Linked DNA regions of Mus musculus. The protein of the gene in region 3 interacts with the protein of the main gene of each other region in a biochemical or structural test. Links are inferred from orthologs where the notes say so. Each region holds a gene or a part of one and is shown on either strand. Other genes may lie near its edges.

Region 1 (5,952 bases), on a different chromosome or scaffold from region 3:
TGTATAACATGTCAACCCTTCCCCTGTCTTTTTAAACTTCAAGCTAGTGATTCCAAAAGTAATGACCACTGGACACCTGGGAGAGAAATGCCTGCGTGGCTTTTGTGCTTGACTATCCGTCTCTCTCTGCCCAGGTTCTCTCTGCTTTCTCTTTAGACCTCATTGCTTGATAAAGTATATACCCTACCTGCCCCTGTGAAAAGATTGACTGTTTAGTTACCTGCCTATATACTATAGCTTTTGGTACCCTGAATATATAACTATAATATATATTTATAATATATATAAATATAACATGGATAACATAGTAGACTAAGTAGATCCTATCCACTTCTCTGAGAGGAAACTTACCCATTCCTTTTTGGTTAATTTTCTCTCAATAGAGATTATAGTTTACTATATATAAATCTTTGTTTGCCTAGGCAGATATGCCTGCATTCATAACTGTTTTCACAAATGGAGATACATCATTTAGGGACATTATTGTTTGGCAGTTAAACTGAACACTTAGATTTGAAAACATACCATCTGGTTGCACCTTGATTCCTTTTCGTTATTTAAAGCTTCAGGGAATATTGCACAGAGATCAGAGCTGCAGCAGAACGGTCTTCAGGCCTGGCCCATCACCTTAGAGCTCTTGGTTTGGTTTCCCTGAAGCTGCCTGTGCGTCTGTATCTATGGGCCCTTTCTCTGGTCTAGACCAGGGTTGGGTGTATTCCTGGCAGGATTCCCTGTGGACAGTGGCTCACTGCTCTGGCATCCTGGTGTGTAAATATTTGTCAAAAGACGGGGGCTTTTTCCCATTCCTCAAAAAACATTCTGAAAAATGTCCCTGTTTTCATAGTCATATTTCCAAGCTGTGGCTCAGTTAGCCCATTCATTCCTTTCAGTTGACAGACACTGGCTTGGCCTTAGCTATCCACATAAAGTAAGTATGCTGTAATTTTTGGCCTAATAACTTTTAAGCGTTAGGACCAGGACTCTGGACCTAAAGGAACCACAGACAGCATAGTTACTGTTCTAAAAGACATTGCTTTGTTGACTAAGAATCGCACATCTCTTCTATCAAATATTTTAATTCATCATGCGCACACTTGATACTGAAGAAGTGATGCAGTGATGAGAAAGCTAACCACCTCGCTTCGTCATGCTAGGACCTGACGCCTGGGTTCCCAGGGGAGGGTGCTGTGCTATTGCAGGCATTTCCTAGCTTGTCTCAGGGGTTTCTGGTCTTAGATTTGCGCGAAACCGAAGCAGTTTGCTGCTGCACATGGCTGAGAAGGCCTCAGATGCGGAGCTGGGTTTTCTCTGTGTGCAACTGTAATAGTTGAAGTCTTTAATTCCAGCACTCAGGTCTCAGACAGGACATGTACCACAGGTTCAAGGCTAGCTTGGGCTTTATAGTGAGTTTAGGACAGTCTGCTACAGAGTGAGACCCTGTCTCAACCCAAGCAGTGAGAAGAGGAAGGAGAGGGAAAATGTCAGGGAGGGAGAGGAAGGAGAAAAGGGCAGAGGGAGAATAAGACCAGAGCCCAGGATCCACTTGCTCAGCACAGACACTCAGACAGCTCCCACTGCACTCCTGTCTCCTCTCTCCGGTTCTCATCTTCCTCCTCCCCTCCAGTTTTCTGCTAGTCTGGCTAGCAGCTGCCTATCTGCTCTGGTTTCCAGCAGTTAACTTAGTTGTGTGATACTTAAGAAGTATGATTAATAAAGTCTTTATATTAAGGAAAACTGGATATTTAAAAATTATCTGTTGAAGCATTCGTTGAGTTGGCTGCCATCCATAGCATAATACATACGCATATGTTAATGACATTCTGATTGTGCTAGTGTTTGGACTGTTCTAATGTGTAATGTCTTCCTGCAGATCATCAATTTCTACATGAACATGCTAATGGAACGCAGTAAAGAGAAGGGGTTTCCAAGTGTACATGCGTTTAATACCTTCTTCTTCACTAAGCTAAAAACAGCTGGTTATCAGGCAGTGAAACGCTGGACAAAGAAGGTGGATGTATTCTCCGTTGATATTCTTCTGGTGCCCATTCACTTGGGTGTGCACTGGTGTCTAGCTGTGAGTAACTCCTTTATTTTTGATGGCATGAGAAAGAGATCTACGTAGGCAGCATAGCCAGCCCAGTGGGCCATATGATCTGTGTCTCTGCTTTGCTATGGAGGAGAGGTGGAATTTCATAGTGATGCCTCGGCTTTAGAGTAGGGGATGCTTAGGTTCGGAAGTTACAGGTCATCCCGCCGCCGCCTCAGGTGAGGCAAGGAACAAGCATGTTTGTGGTGCCACCAGCCCCAGCTTCCTACCTAGCTCTGACTTGCCTTGTGCATGTGGGGGTTTAGCATTTCTGTGCTCTGGAAGCATGAAGACATCAGCTTAATGTTAATAAGAGTTATTGTATATTCTGTTTTGAATTACATTTCAAAGATATCAATCTGGGGCTGGAGAGATGGCTCAAAGGTTAAGAGCACGGACTGCTCTTCCGAAGGTCCTGAATTCAAATCCCAGCAACCACCTGGTGACTCACAACCGTCCATAACAAAATCTGACTCCCTCTTCTGGAGAGTCGGAAAACAGCTACAGTGTGCACTTACATATTATAAATAAATAAATAAATAAATAAATAAATAAATAAATATCGATCCAAAAAAAGGAAATAAGATAAAAACAAACGCAGAATCTTGTCACCATCTTTCTTATACTGTGGGAATGATCTTATGATAGTTAATTTTCTGTGAATCATGCATTGTTGATCATGGAGAAAGTGGCATGCAAAAAAAGATTTTAAGACAGTTAATAGGCCACTGGTGGATCACCCCAGCACCACCCTAGGTAAACAGTCCCCTTGCTCTTCCCATGCTAGAATACAGCACATTCACCATACTGCTCACAGTCTCACAGACAGTCTGGGGAAAGGTCAAGGCCAAGGGAGGCCAGCTGATGATGCGTGTGTCCTGACTGTTTTGTCTTGTTCCAGGTTGTAGACTTTAGAAGGAAGAGTATCACCTACTATGATTCTATGGGTGGAATAAACAACGAGGCCTGCAGGATCCTCTTGTAAGTGCAAATTGAGGACAAAAGAAATGTTTGTTGCTTTCTGTCTTTCCAGCAATCTGAGTGAGACCTTCGGAGATGGGATTAGTGGCATTGTCACATCAGTATAAATGCATATTTTAAATACAATATGTATTAATGAGGGCAGTTGCTGTCTTGGCACACTGAAATATAGAGTAACCATATACATAGAAATACAGTCAGCAGAACTCATATTTAATTCAGCTTTCTGAAATTTTAAACGAAAAAGTCCCACAGAGATGACTTTGCTTTGGTCTTACTACTTAGTGGTTCCCTTGGAAATTAGAATGGGAATCTCTTACACCCATTTGCTTCTCTTTGTAAACACCAGTGCCTTGCTCTGCAACTGATACATGGCAAGGGGGATAAGTTCCTGAACAGTGCGCATTTCCTTCTTCAAAAGAGTGCTCTTGGCTAGGGAGAGGCTCAGAGGCTAACGGGCTTGCTGCACAAGCATAGGAACCATAGTTAGGATCACCAGGGCTCACATAAATGCTCTATGTGTGCATGGTTCCCACTCAACTCCAGCCTTGGAAAGCAGAGACAAACTGACTAGCAAGACTAGTAGTATCAATGTGCACCATGCACACACTCATGCTCACGTGTGCGTCAACACATGCACATACCACACACTGCACACCACAACATATACACATGAAAATTGGGGAAGAGTCCTCTGAATTTGTACTGTTTTGTTTGTGTTTTTGAGACAGGTTTTCTCTTTGTAGCTCTGGCTGTCCTGGAACTTGTTCTGTGTAATAGACTAAGCCAGCCTCAAACTCAGAGATCTTCCTCCCTCCCAAGGACTGGGATTTAAGGCTTGTGCCACCACTGCCTGGTGTGAATTTGTACTTGTTAAATTTTAAAATACATACCCTGATACTGCTTGAGACATTTTAAATTTTATATTTATATATATATATATATATATATATATTAATTTAATAATAAGTTATGCATTAGGTTGATAATTGTAAAAGGACCATACAAACCAAGAAAAAATAAATATAAAAATATTTCTTAGAAAGATGAGTAGACTGAAGAATTTAGAAAGAATATTACCTATCAGGAATCTCAGAAGCAGCGGTCCTGTCCCTCCTGGCAGGTGGCAGAATGGGCTGCTTGTGGGACCTGTGAGGGTTGTCTTCTGAGGGTCGCCAGCCCCATTCTGTGGGTGGCAGCTGCCATCAAGCTGCACACAGCTCATCTCGGTCTCTTCTGATGTCTTTAGGCAATACCTAAAACAAGAAAGTGTTGACAAGAAAAGGAAAGAGTTTGACACCAACGGCTGGCAGCTCTTCAGCAAGAAGAGCCAGGTACGTTTCATGTTGATATCATAGCAATCTTTAGAGCTGGGGTGTTTGGGGGAAGAGGGTTCTGGTTGCTGTCTGACTCCTATGGACTGTCTAATTCAAGTCTAGCCTGACTTCAGCTTTCTCTGGTTTCTCAAGGGAGATGAATTATTTGTGGGGAAGCTCATGATGTGTTTCTTGTGCAAAACTGTTTTCTAAATGCTGAGCTGTTTGCTGAGATTTTTACTCCGTTGAGAAATACTTGTTGACTGTTTGGTGCTTAGAAGGAGGACCAGTTTGTACACCCTTGGGTGCCATGAAAGCCTGAGAGAGGCTCCTGTGTGACCAGTGTGAAGCTAACACACAAAGGTGGAACCACAGTGCTGCATCCTTAAACCTCCTTCCCCTTAGGAGACCCAAGGGAAATGGTGTAAAATTGATAAAAGAAGTTTGCAAAAATATTTTGTTGTTGTTGTTGTTTTAGGAAATCCCACAGCAGATGAATGGGAGTGACTGTGGAATGTTTGCTTGCAAATATGCTGACTGCATTACCAAAGACAGACCAATCAACTTCACACAGGTGAGGCAGGCCTGTGCCTGTTCTGTGGAGCCTCTGCCCTGACCTTTACATACTTCAGGCTGTGTCTCAGATCACTGCACAAAAGGAGAAAATGTTGGTCTACACGCCAGGCTACCATTGTCACATATAATAGTGACTGAGTCTTGGGTTAAGAAGAAAAGTCTTTATTGTCTGTCCATCTCCCCCAGCCCGAGACACACACACACACACACACACACACACACACACACACACACCCCACCTCTAACCTTATAGGAAACACAAACTGAAACCAGAAGAAGCCTTCTTCACTTCCCCTCAATTTAGCATTCAGGTTTTGGAATATTTTGGAATAGACCCAAGTAAATCTCTTTGTGTCCTTTGTTACACACCCCCTTCCCTGGCCCGTTGTCAGTGCCACTGGTCAGTTTTACCTCAAAGGTAGAAGGTCATTTTCCTAGACAGCATCCTGAACCCAAGAGGACTGAGACTACAAATCCCAGCTGATTCTGATATGTTTTCTACTTTTGCTTCTGTTGGAATCAGCGTCCTGTCTAGATTTTGTCTGAACCAGGGCTTCGTAAATGTTTTCCTCTTGATGAGGCTTGAAAGATGCTCAGTGGTTTAAGATGCTTGCTGCTCTTCCAGAGGACTGGGTTCAATTCCTAGCGCCCACATGGCCTATACAGCCTTTGGTAACTAGAGTTCCAGGAAATCCACCGCCCTCTTGTGGCTTCCACAGGTACCATGGAATGCACATGGAACCCAGACACACATGCAAGGGGCATTTGTACATATAAAAATGAATGAGTCTGAAAGAAGGAACAAAACTTACTATTCGTCTTCATCCAAAAAGTTTTTACATTGCCCTAGATATATACATATATTAAATAGATTAGTGAAACATATAATAAGGCAAAGAACTTATTTTAAAACAGTCCTCTGGTATACATGTAATTTTACAGTTGGTTAAAGACAAAAGCGAGTTTGTACACAGATGAAATGGAAGGTTTTGG
Region 2 (5,952 bases), on a different chromosome or scaffold from region 3:
TATTAATATTCTGCTTTTAATGTGGCTCAGGAGTCATTTAACACCATGTAGAAACTAGTAGTTTCAAAGTATTTTAAGCTTAAAATAACCTTGGTTGTTTTTTGTTTTTTTAAGCTGTAGAGTCACTCTTACTTACATTGAAGTGGACATGATTTGAAAGAAAAACAAGTTTAGCATTATCTGCCATTACCACATATTCCCCCCCACCCCCCACCCCGTGGTCATTTAGGAAAGGATGATGGAACTTGGCTTGGCAGTTATTCTAAATCTTACCCACTGTATTAGCCTACCCAGGGTGCCATAACAGAATACCGTAGACTGGGTAGTTCAGACAAAAGAAATGCATGTTCTCATAGTTCTGGAGACTGGGATCCAAGATCTAGGTACAGCTCAGGGGCTGTTGCTGACTTTTGGTGACTGTCACTTGTCCTTGACCTGCTTCTGCATGGTCTTGGTTAGTCAGAGCATGGAGTCATAGTGGTTAACAGTCTGCCCGAGGATAGGCGTTCTCTTAACCATTTCTGTTGTTTTGTAGTTGGTGGTTGGTGCAGTGGAGATGCCATTTCCAGTGTTGAACGCTATGACCCCCAGACCAATGAGTGGCGAATGGTAGCTTCAATGAGCAAAAGGCGATGTGGAGTCGGGGTCAGTGTTCTTGATGACCTGTTATATGCAGTAGGCGGCCATGATGGATCCTCATATCTCAATAGTGTTGAAAGGTAAGGTTAATGTTAAAAAAATCCCTCTTGTCCCTATGATTTTGTTTGAGGTACTAATTGAAAACCATGTGACTTACTAATTTAGTGGTATATCTGTGACACCAATTAATAGTCTAGACTCCTCCTTATCATGAAGACCTTTATGATCTGATCTTTACCAATTTTTCTGGTCTCTTCCCCACTGGACACAGTCATTTTCTAAGCATGCTAATGCAGATATAGCAAACTGCCTGCAGCTCCTTGGGCATACTGTCTTCTTTCCTCCTCCTGCCCCTGCATGTATGCATGCTGTTCTTCCCACCCTGGAATATCTGTGCCCCTTTAAGGCTTACAAGATTTCAAATGTTACTTCCTGCGTAAAACCTTCTCTGACCACAGATGAGTTACTTGTTCCTCTGCTCTTTCATAAGTTTTTTTTTTTAAAGATAGATTTACCTGTTTGTTTGTTTATTAATTAATTAATTTATTTATTTATTTACTGTATTATGGGTATACTCTAGCTGTACAGATGGTTGTGAGCCATCATGTGGTTGCTAGGTTGCTCACTCCAGCCTAAAGATTTATTTATTATTGTATCTAAGTACACTGTAGATGTCTTCAAATGCACCAGAAGAGGGTGTCAGATCCCATTACAGATGGTTGTGAACCACTATGTGGTTGCTGGGATTTGAACTCAGGACCTTCGGAGGAGCAGTCAGCGCTCTTAACCATTGAGCCATCTCTCCAGCCCCTTCATGAGTATTTTAAGGATGCTTGTGCATACTGTTTTATACAATTGTTGAGGTACCTGGCACACTGGAAGTTACAGTGAGAGAATTTTTTTTCTTTTAAGTTTCTTGTTGCCACACAATCTCTTTTATTAAGCCATGCTGATCTGTAGTAATTGTCATAGTTCCATAGCATATCTGTAGAAAGTTGTATATCCAGTTCTGGACATTGGTTCTAGATATGGCATAGGTAAAAAACAAAACCAGACAATCGAAACAGAAGGGTTGGCTCTATAGATTGTGGAGGGAGGAACAGCAGGGAGAATGGTACCTAGATGTAAGTCGGTGTGCTGAATAAATCAGAGCACAATGACTAAATGTTTGTAGCTAAACAATTAGGTCAATATATATCAAAATATCTAAACTGTAGCTAAGGTGATACATAGAGGCAAGCGTGTGAACGAACAATATGTTAGACGCATTTGAAAAAGAGAAAAGAGAAAGTAAGAGAGGTGGGTGTGCTGCACATATCTGTGATCCTAGCATGTGGGAGGCTGAAGCAGGAGAGCCAAGGGTCACAAGTTTGAGGCAATTCCAAACTACATAGAGAGACCCTGTCTCAAAGAGGAAAAAGAAAGAAAAATGTGCTTTTAAGTCAAGAAGTTATAAAGAGCAACAAAAATCTAGAAAAACAGGAAAAAACCAGGAGGAAAGAAAAGTAATGAAAAATTTTAAAGTAAAAATGAATATAGCTATAAAGGGGGCAACTTGGTTATCTTTTGCTTTGTGGCTTTTCAGTGGTTAAGGGGTCCTGCACATGCCAGATAAGCACTCTACTGTTGAGCTGTGTGCTCAGTGTTATAATTCCTGTTTCTAATTACCAAAGTGTGTGTGTGTGTGTGTGTGTGTGTGTATGCTATCATTAGAAAATAAGATCAAACAGTGCATTGTACATTGTACATTGCAATATAACTAAATAGTTCAAAGAAAAAAATCTACAATGATATTAACAAAATGAGATCTCAAAAATACATCAAAGGAGAAAACTGCATACTGTGTAGTATTATTTATGTAAATAAAGCATTTTTGCATTTAAATAAATGCAAATGTGAATAACATTTTATTGCAAAGGTTTAAGGGATGTATGCCAAATCCAAATGGGAAGAAACTGGAACTGGTGTGGGATTCTGCAGCATTCTGATTTTTATAAAGGAAAATATATTCAAAATAAACATTAAAAATAAATTGTAAAAGGTAAATTAGGCAGGGATGTAGGTCTAACAGCACAGTTACCAGCATATGGTCCCTCAGTTCAATCCCCATTCATATGCCTTGATTGTTAATCAGCCTATGTTTGAGAAAAAGAAACAGTCCTTAAATAGAAATATATGCTTATGTTTGAAATATAAGCACAGTCAAGCTCCACCATGTAATACATACTCTTGGTGTTCTTTCCAGATATGACCCCAAAACTAACCAATGGAGCAGCGATGTGGCCCCTACAAGCACCTGCAGGACAAGCGTTGGTGTGGCAGTCCTTGGAGGTTTTCTCTATGCTGTGGGTGGACAGGATGGTGTCTCTTGCCTCAATATAGTTGAGAGGTGATGTCTTTTTAATCAAAGTAACTTTCAACTTTTAATGGGCATTCAGAGTTCTTTTTGCAGTTTTATGTAGCCCGAAATGGCCTAGAGCTTATAATGGAGTGGGAGGGTCAGAAGGTGACTTTGTGGAATTGGTTCTCTCCGTCTACTAGTCTATAGCACACCCCCATCTACTCTTTAATTGATAAAAATACATTTGTGGTGAACATGATGTATTTAACTATTTAAACCATGTAGAATGGCTAAGACAAACTAATTAGCTGATTATTACCCTAAATACTTAGAGAGTTTTGGTGAAAACACTTTTCACCAAATTTTCAAATGCATGACATAATAACTACTCACCGCAATGTACTTTAGATTTCCTTAAAGTATTTTTGACCAGCATCTCTGTGATCCTGCCAACCAATCACCCAGCCCACTGAGAGTGGAATCCTCTACTGTTTGCTTCTATAAATTAGACTCATTTTAGATTCCATCTTCAAGATCAAATGGTATTTTTCTTCATGTGTCTGACTTATTTCACTTAACAAAATATCCCCCCACATTCATCCTATTGTCACAAATGACAAATTTGTGGCTTTTAATAAAACTGAATAGTAGATGTGTATGACTGTATGTGTGTGACTTTGTGTGTGTGTACTTTTTCTTAAGCTATGGCAGATGTGTGTGTCCATTTTATCTCTTGTGGTTTCAGATGTGTAGACACTGCTTGGGCAGTAGGAATATGTTTCCCTCCCTGCAGGTATGATCCAAAGGAGAACAAGTGGACCCGGGTGGCTTCAATGAGCACTAGAAGGCTAGGGGTGGCTGTCGCCGTGTTGGGAGGGTTCTTATACGCTGTTGGTGGCTCAGATGGAACATCTCCACTTAACACAGGTCAGTCTCTCAACAGCAGTATGAGTTCCAAATGCAACACATTTTCCTGGGGGAAATATTAAATGCTCTATACTAAATATTAAATGCTCAGGTTATTCTACTTTCAATATACTTTCAATATAACGTCTTTATTAATTCTTGAAGAATTTCATGGAATATATTTTATTGTATTCATCCTTCCACTCCTCTCAGATCCACCCTCCACCTCCCCATCCAGTCTCAACTTCATTTGTCTTCTTAGTAACCCACTGTCTTAGTCAGGGTTTCTATTACTGCACAAACATCATGACCAAGAAGCAAGTTGGGAAGGAAAGGGTTTATTCAGCTTACATTTCCACATTGCTGTTCATCACTGAAAGAAGTCAGGACTGGAACTCAAGCAGGTCAGGAAGCAGGAGCTGATGCAGAGGCCATGGAGGGATGTTCCTTACTGGCTTGCTTCCCCTGGCTTGCTCAGCCTGCTCTCTTATAGAACCAAGACTACCAGCCCAGAGATGGTCCCACCCACAAGGGCCTTTCCCCCTTGATCACTAATTGAGAAAATGCCTTACAGTTGGATCTCATGGAGGCATTTCCTCAACTGAAGCTCCTTTTTCTGTGATAACTCCAGCTGTGTCAAGTTGACACAAAACTAGCCAATACACCCACCAAATCTAATTTGTGCTGCTCATATACTCATAAATGTATTTTTTATCTTTTTAAAGAATATGTTTTAGTTTTCTCTCTAGAAAAATGTAACTCATAACTTCTAATATGTTCCCCAAAGTTTTCTTTCTCTACATACTTCATAAACTTCCAGAAACTTATAGTGAATTTTTAAAAGTCTGGGGCTGCAGAGACGACTTAGTGGTTAAGAGCGCTTGGTTGAGAATGCTTCTTGCTCAGCTCCTGCACCCACAGGTGCCTTACAGCCATCTGCACCGGCACCCACAGGTGCCTTACAGCCATCTGCACCTGCACCCACAGGTGCCTTACAGCCATCTGCACCTGCACCCACAGGTGCCTTACAGCCATCTGCACCTGCACCCACAGGTGCCTTACAGCCATCTGCACCTGCACCCACAGGTGCCTTACAGCCATCTGCACCTGCACCCATAGGTGCCTTACAGCCATCTGCACCTGCAGCCCCAGGTGCCTTACAGCCATCTGCACCTGCAGCCCCAGGGTTCTGCTGAAGACACCAGGCATGCACATCGTGCATATACACACATGAGGGCAAAGAAGATAGATAAGTAAATAAGTAAACAAACAAATAGGGCCACAGTTTAAAAAACAAAGCAAAACTCTACTTTCTAAATAGAGTGAGTTCCCTACCTCCCATAATCACCACCTCTCCTCAGTAGAAAAAGAATTCTTTTAATATAAGAATAAGTAAAACCTTAGAGCTACAAGCTTCTTTGCCTTTTCTATCTAGACCAGTGGTTCTCAAACTTCCTAATGCAGCAATCCTTTAATACAATTCCTCATGTTGTGGTGACCCCCCAACCATAAAATTAATTACTACTTCATAACTGTTATGAATCGCAATGCAAATAACTGATGTGTGACACACACCCCCCCAAAGGAGTCATGATCCACAGGTTGAGAATCACTGGTCTAGACATAATAGCTATTTTTATCTAAGGATATTGTCAGTGGCACACCATGAGATTCATTGTTATGTATCTTCGGTGGCTCAGAAGACACTAGGCAAACAGCATGGGCGAGCACGCCACTAATCCCAGCACTTGGGAGACAAAGACAGAAGGATCGATCATGAGTTTGAGGCCGGGCTACATAGTGAGTTCTAGGCTAGCACCACAGAGCAAGACTCCATCTAAAAAAAAGAACAAAACATGAATAAATAATCAAATAAATTATATGAGAAAAATAAAAGTAAAAAACCTGTCTAACTATAACAATGAATTTTTAATACTAAACCATTCTTTTAAGTCATAATCAAGTTCCACCCTACTAGAAGATAAGGAAAGTGCATATAACTAGTTATGTAGCCACAACTAGAAGTTAACACATGCCAGTTCCTTAGAAGATGACTGTAAGAAACT
Region 3 (6,747 bases):
AATCTGAAAAGAGGGATCTCCAATTGAGAAAATGGTTGTGCTGTAGGCAAGCCTGAAGAGCATTTTCCTAATTTATGATTGACGTTGCAGGGCCCATTCCATTGTGGGTGGGGCCAACCCTGGGCTGCTGGTCCTGGGTTCATTAAGAAAGCAGGCTGAACAAGCCAGTAAGCAGCATCCTCCATGGCCTTTGCAGCAGCTCCTGCATCCAGGTTCCTGCCCTATTTGAGTCCTGGCTTCCCTCATTGATGGACCACCATATGGAAATGTAAGCAAAATAAAGCCTTTCCTACCCAACTTGCTCTTTACTCACGGTGTTTTGTCACAGCAATAAAAACCCTAAGATGAGTTGGTACCGGGAGTGAGGTTTTAATTAATTTCAAATGTAGTCAAGTTGACAACCCAGAATTGCCATACAAGTCCACCCCTTGCCAACTTGACACACAATCATATCTTCTTATCAATTTCCAAGTGAAAACATTAAGCAAATCATAATAATACCTAAACATGATATAACTATCTGACATACAATTACAAACACATTATATTTAACCATGTTATAATTACACCTAACCAGATAAAACTATCCCTCATACAACTGCAAATGCATTGCAAATTTAGAGTAGATGCCAGGCGTGACGGTGCACGCCTTTAATCCCAGCACTCGGAGGCAGAGGCAGGCAGATTTCTGAGTTTAAGACCAGGCTGGTCTACAAAGTGAGTTCCAGGACAGCCAGGGCTGTACAGGGAAACCCTGTCTTGAAAAACCAAAAAAAAAACAAAAAACAAAAAACAAACAAACCAAACCAAACAAACAAACAAAAACAAACGAACAAACAAAAAATTTAGAGTAGATGACAATGTCCCTTGAGGGACATTCTTTTTTTTTTTTTTTTGAATTAATTAATTTATTTCATGTATGTGAGTACACTGTCGATGTCTTCAGACACACCAGAAGAGGGCATCAGATCCCATTACAGATGGTTGTAGCCACCATGTGGTTGCTGGGAATTGAGCTCAGGACCTCTGGAAGAGCAGTCAGTGCTCTTAACCCCTGAGCCATCTCACCAGCCCCCTAGAAACATTCTATTAGTATCTCAGACTTCAATATGATAACCATTGACATTCTATTAATAGATGTTACATCACATAATTTAAAAAATTGAGGAAAGAAAACACAAATATTTGTACACAATATAACTGATCTTGGCCTAATTTTTTAAAATATTTACTCAAAATATTTATATGAGTACACTGTAGCTGTTTTCAGACACACCAGAAGAGGGAATCAGATTCTATTACAGATGCTTGTGAGCCACCATGTGGCTGCTGGGAATTGAACTCAGGACCTCAGGAAGAACAGTCAGTGCTCTTAACCGCTGAGCCATCTCTCCAGCCCTTGATGGGCTAATTTTAAAGGCCAAGGGATACTGGTCAGCTTAGATGTATGGCCTCCACAGTCTCCAGGATGTTGGGTCTCCCTTTAGAACCCATCTCACCACAACTCTAAGTTTACAAAAGCAGGAACCTGTTACCATCCCTTTTAATCAGTTTCACATAGGAACAGAGAATAGGCACATAGGGGCCAGAAAAGTGGGTGGGAACAGACTGAAGTTAGAAGCCAAAGGCACTGGCCAATGAGAGTGTCAGCAGGTGTGTGTTTTCCTCACCCACTAGTTTCTGGATTGCTTTTTCTTGGTCAAAAAGCTAACTTTGTATCTCTTGTTTTCTTCACCACTGCTGGCCAGCTCTCCCCTTGCCTCCCTGTTGTCTACCTCTGTACGATGCACAGTCATCAGACCCATTCAACGCTGTTCTGTCACCACGGTCCTTCCACTGACTCAGAACTAACTCTGTGTCCCACAGTTACTTCTCATAGGCCACCTGCCTCAAGGTCATTCAAGAGACGCAGCTGACACGCTGTAAGAAACCCTTCACCAACTCTCAGATCATATGTAGAATCGGTCCATTTCTCACCGTATGATTCATCTCATCTTCTCTGGTATCACTTCGCAGGAGCCCCATCTTAAATCTGAAAATGGCCCTGACTACTTCCCAAACTGGCTCTCCTGTTTCAGACCTCCACTCCTTTCCAAGTGTTTGTCTCTCTTTAAAATGTCTGAGCAGCTCTGAATTCCTGGTCATTTTCTATCTCATGCTCCATTCTCAGCTGAGGGATGCCTTTCCAGGCAAACCCATCCCAGTACTGAGTCGAAGTCTCCACTAGGGTGCACTTGGGAGGCTCTCTCAAAGAGGAGTTTATTTCTCTACCTGGCTTTTAACTAGAAAGACATATAGCTGTGGAATGAGTCCAATAGCTCACAGACAGGGAAAAGCCTGTCAGCTCTGTTTCTCTCCTGGTGTGCATGCTGCGTACGTGGCCGGATCTTTCCTTGTTCTGCTAATGAGCCATGCCCGCATGCCGGGCTTGTTTACTTGCTTGTTTGGTTAACCTTTCTGACTCTACCAGAGTTACTTCCATAGCTCCCTAGTCTTTCTCTTAACTTTGGAAGGGAGATTATAGAACCAGCCTCTCCGCCCCTAGACCCGCCCAGCCCTGTCTCACTTCCTCTCGGGAGGCGGGCTCTCCTCGGGCAATCTCTCGCTCAGTTTTCTGGCTCAGATCTGAGACCCATTTCCCGCCTTCACAGACCTAATCAAGAAATGGAAACTGAACCAGTTTCCGTGCAGAAGGTACCTGCACCCCCTGGATCTCCCTGTCGACAACAGGACTCTGCCCTGACCCCCACGCCCACCATGCCTCCCCCAGAGGAACCCTCCGAAGACTATGAACACAGCCAAAGCCCTGCAGAGGTACTACTGGGTTAGAAGGTGTAGGGCTATTAGGTTTTTTTATTCGTTTACTTTGGTCGAGGAGTTGAGGATGAAGAAGGTCGTTATAGAGAAGTAAGTTAATGGGTTAGTGTCCTAAAGAGACACCAAGGTCCTGACCCTCCTGGCTGGGCAGAGGTAGAACTGATAGCCTAGAGTAAAATAGGAACAGGGGCCCGGCGGTGTGGGGCACACCTCTAATCCCAACACTTGGGAGGCAGAGGCAGGTGGATTTCTGAGTTCAAGGCCAGCCTGGTCTCTACAGAGTGAGTTCCAGGACAGCCAGGGCTACACAGAGAAACCCTGTCTAAAAAAAAAAAAAAAAAAACCGGGATGAGTTGGATTGTAACTGGGGATAGTTGGATTGTAACTCCTACTCCCTGAAGCCTTGCCTGAAGCGCCTACCTCAGATGAAAGACTATAGTCCTGTGGAAGGCCTGGCCAGGAGTCTTATTTGCTCTGGCCTGGAGCTAAAGGCATGTCCCAGACTTGGCAAAACTATAGTCGCCCTCCCTGACCCCCACACCAACACTTCCCGTTTTTCAGCTGTGGTTGCACATCCCAGGAGCAATAGTGCTTGGGATGGTAGGGCTGGAGGGAGGATGACAAGTTCCAGGCCAGCCTAGGCCACAAAGAGAGTTCAAGACCGCTGAGGGCATCACAGCAAGACCTGTTTCAAAACAAAACAAACAAACAGACAGAACCTGGCTCAGACCAAAGTGCCTGCTAAGACCAACAGGATTCACACAGCTGCTTTCTCTTTTGATTTTCATCAATTTATTTTATGTGTATGAGGTTTAGGGATTTATTTTATTTTATCTTTTGGAACACAGGGTCTCACTCTGTAGCCTTGGCCGGGCTGGAGCTTGCTTTGTAAGCCAGGCTGGTCTCAAATTCATAGAAACCACCTGCCTGCCTTCTGAGCTCTGGGATTAATGTATGCGCCACCAAGCTCATTTTCCTAAGGAAGCCTAGTTCATGGCCTTCCTGGGAGTATTGCCTCAACCTTCCATACTCACCCTGGAAGGAACTACCTCCATCCCATTATTCTTCACTCATTTTTCCCTTCACAAAAAACACAAATAAGGTCACATTGCCCTAACTTTTTATTATTAGCATTATATAGCTAAGGATTAAAAATACTAGTTGACATTTATGGGTACTTCTCTCTCTCTCTCAATCTCTCTCTCTTTTTTTTTTTTTTTTTGGTTTTTCGAGACAGGGTTTCTCTGTATAGCCCTGGCTGTCCTGGAACTCACTTTGTGAACCAGGCTGGCCTCGAAATCGCCTGCCTCTGCCTCCTGAGTGCTGGGATTAGACTTATGGGTATTTCTCATGTGCCAGGCACCATGGTATTGAGCTCTTTGAACAGTAGCTCCACCTTCTATACCTATGAACTAACTATTATTATTTTATATGACATGACTGGAATTACACAATATTTCTAATTTTATGGCAGGCATATTATTTCACCATGTCTTCAAGGTTCATCCAGGTTGTTGAATGTATCAGGATTTCATTCCTCTTTCAGGGTGAATACTATTTTGTTACATTTGCAGACACATTTTGTTCATGCGTTCATGTGCTAAGGACACTTGGGTCACTGTGACTTTTGTGGGGGTGTTGCTAGGCACATTAGTATATAATTATATGCTTGGATATTTTTTCCAGTTCTTTTGAGTATATATATGGAAAGTGGAAGCTTGGTCATACGGTAGTTTAAGTCTAACTTTTTGAGGGTCATCCTGCCAATTGTGTTAAGCACTTTATATGAAGTTGATACTTTTCCAAACTTGAGTCCCTTAAATGCAAAGATGTATCTATCCTATCTTGTATCTCAGGACCTACTAGTGAGTCTAATGATAAGCAGATGGGTGCCCGGTAAATTGTGCAGTGAGAGCTGCAAGGCTCGAAGTAAATGAGGAACTGGGGTGCCGATAAGCCAGGACATGATCCAATGACTCCCAGGAATGGAATGTGAGGTCCTACCCTCTCCAATCTCCAGCTGAAGGGATGGGCGGCCAGTGGAGGGGACAAGACGTCTGGGCTTTCTGTAGGCCTCACTTCTCTCCTTGGTTCACTAGCAAGCCATACAGGAGGAATTTCAGTTTCTGCGCTGCCCGAGCTGCCAGGCCCAAGCCAAGTGCCCCAAACTGCTGCCTTGCCTGCACACGCTGTGCTCCGGATGCCTGGAGGCGCCTGGCCTGCAGTGCCCCATCTGCAAGGCTCCTGGGCAGGCCGATGCTAATGGGGAGGCCCTGGATAACGTGTTCTTCGAGAGCCTGCAGCGGCGCCTGGCGGTGTTCCGGCAGATCGTGGATGCTCAGGCTGCGTGCACCCGCTGCAAAGGCTTGGCCGACTTCTGGTGTTTCGAGTGTGAACAGCTCATTTGCAGCAAGTGCTTCGAAGCACACCAGTGGTACCTCAAGCATGAGGCCCGGCCCCTGGCTGATCTCCGCGACAATTCAGTGAGCAGCTTCCTCGACAGTACGCGCAAGTCCAATATCTTCTGCTCCAATACCAACCACCGCAACCCTGCGCTGACTGAGTAAGTGGAGCATCCTGGAGTCAGGGGGTGAAAGCTTCAGGGAATTGTCACTCAAAATGGGCTCCGCTGGTTTATAGTCGTTTCTAATGACCCTTTGAAATATTATATATAGCTTCAGAGTCATCTTTGCACCCATACCTAGTTTGTCTTTAGGATGAAAAAATTTCAGAGTGCCATTGCAAGTGATATGTGAAAACAGTAGGTTTTAGTATGTGTCACCACCGAACTTTAGATGTCTTAATAGTGGACATTTCCTTCGGAGGCCCCAGGGAATCTCAGTAAGGCTGGATGTTATTATTGGGGCAGGAAAATAGTGTTTGAAAAGTTGAAACTATGGCATCAGGGAGTGCTATCTGAAAATGACTATATGCAAAGAACAAAGAAAGTCACTTATAATTATTTTTGTTAAGCAACATATTTTCTATTTATGTAGGGAATATATTTATATGGCTCACAAACAAAATTTATACTAAAGAAAAGAGAGTGCCATCTCCATTCCATTCCTACCTGCTTAGTTTTCAACACTTTACCTCCATTCTCAGGGCAGCTGCCATGGCTAATTTGGAATGCTTCTTTTAAGTTTCTTTGTGAATAAAATGCAGGTCGGGTAACCTTATCAGGACTTGTATCCACCCTTTTAGCCAATATGGTAGTGTATGATAAAGGAACTTTTGACCACTCAGAAGCAGATTGCTTGAATAGGAACTAGTAGTTTTTGAGGAATCAATGGGAACCAAACCGCTTCCTCTTTTGGGGCACTCCTTGACCGACCGAGCTTCCTGCCAGCTTCATCAGAGGAGTCCTGCCCCCACCCCATTCCTCTGCAGCAGGTACAGCTGCTGAATTTGCATTTCATGGCACACTGTTAAGATCAAATGGCTTCTCTCTCTTTATTAGCCCTGGAGTTCTCAATCCTTTGTGAATTGTCTGTTTGGTGCCTTCTTTTCTTTTCCTTTGAGGAGTTCTTCCAGGTCCCTCTGTAAGAATCTATTGTGGTAATATTTCACTTAGTATGTGGTATCATATTTAAAATAACTCTTTAGTTTTAGGGGATCAAATGTGTCAGTTTTCTGTCTTACAGTGTATGACTTTGAATCAGTCCAAGAAAGAGCTCACACCTATGTATAAAATAATCTCTTATATGATCTTTGGTCTTTTAATATGATGAATTAAAATCAGTGTCTTTTCTTTGAACTAGATTTTGGTTCCTAGGAGGAAAAACTCAACTTGAATTATGAAAATTAATTAATTAATTATTAATTTTGTTCCTAGCTGGGTTATGTTTTGAAATATTTTAATTAGGCTACTCTCTGAAACAATAAGTACAATCAATTTCTAATGTAGTTTGTATGGGCTTTGCATTAGGT

The links. The genes of interacting proteins can lie anywhere in the genome.
Region 1: of the proteins of Pml (region 3) and Senp1, one has a biochemical effect on the other in vitro, tested with the Homo sapiens proteins (2 studies listed by BioGRID). The link is inferred for Mus musculus from reciprocal best matches to the Homo sapiens genes PML and SENP1.
Region 2: the proteins of Pml (region 3) and Klhl20 form a complex in vitro, tested with the Homo sapiens proteins (3 studies listed by BioGRID and IntAct, with this or other methods). The link is inferred for Mus musculus from reciprocal best matches to the Homo sapiens genes PML and KLHL20.

The regions. Positions count from the first base shown.
Region 1 is NC_000081.6:98,044,308-98,050,259, reverse strand, and holds part of Senp1 (sentrin-specific protease 1), read left to right. Parts: intron 1-1,870; coding exon 1,871-2,074; intron 2,075-2,987; coding exon 2,988-3,067; intron 3,068-4,316; coding exon 4,317-4,401; intron 4,402-4,861; coding exon 4,862-4,957; intron 4,958-5,952. UniProt on the Homo sapiens protein: Protease that catalyzes two essential functions in the SUMO pathway.
Region 2 is NC_000067.6:161,096,218-161,102,169, reverse strand, and holds part of Klhl20 (kelch-like protein 20), read left to right. Parts: intron 1-535; coding exon 536-719; intron 720-2,884; coding exon 2,885-3,028; intron 3,029-3,773; coding exon 3,774-3,907; intron 3,908-5,952. UniProt on the Homo sapiens protein: Substrate-specific adapter of a BCR (BTB-CUL3-RBX1) E3 ubiquitin-protein ligase complex involved in interferon response and anterograde Golgi to endosome transport.
Region 3 is NC_000075.6:58,245,608-58,252,354, reverse strand, and holds the start of Pml (protein PML), read left to right. Parts: upstream 1-2,568; 5' UTR 2,569-2,664; coding exon 2,665-2,814; intron 2,815-4,916; coding exon 4,917-5,380; intron 5,381-6,747.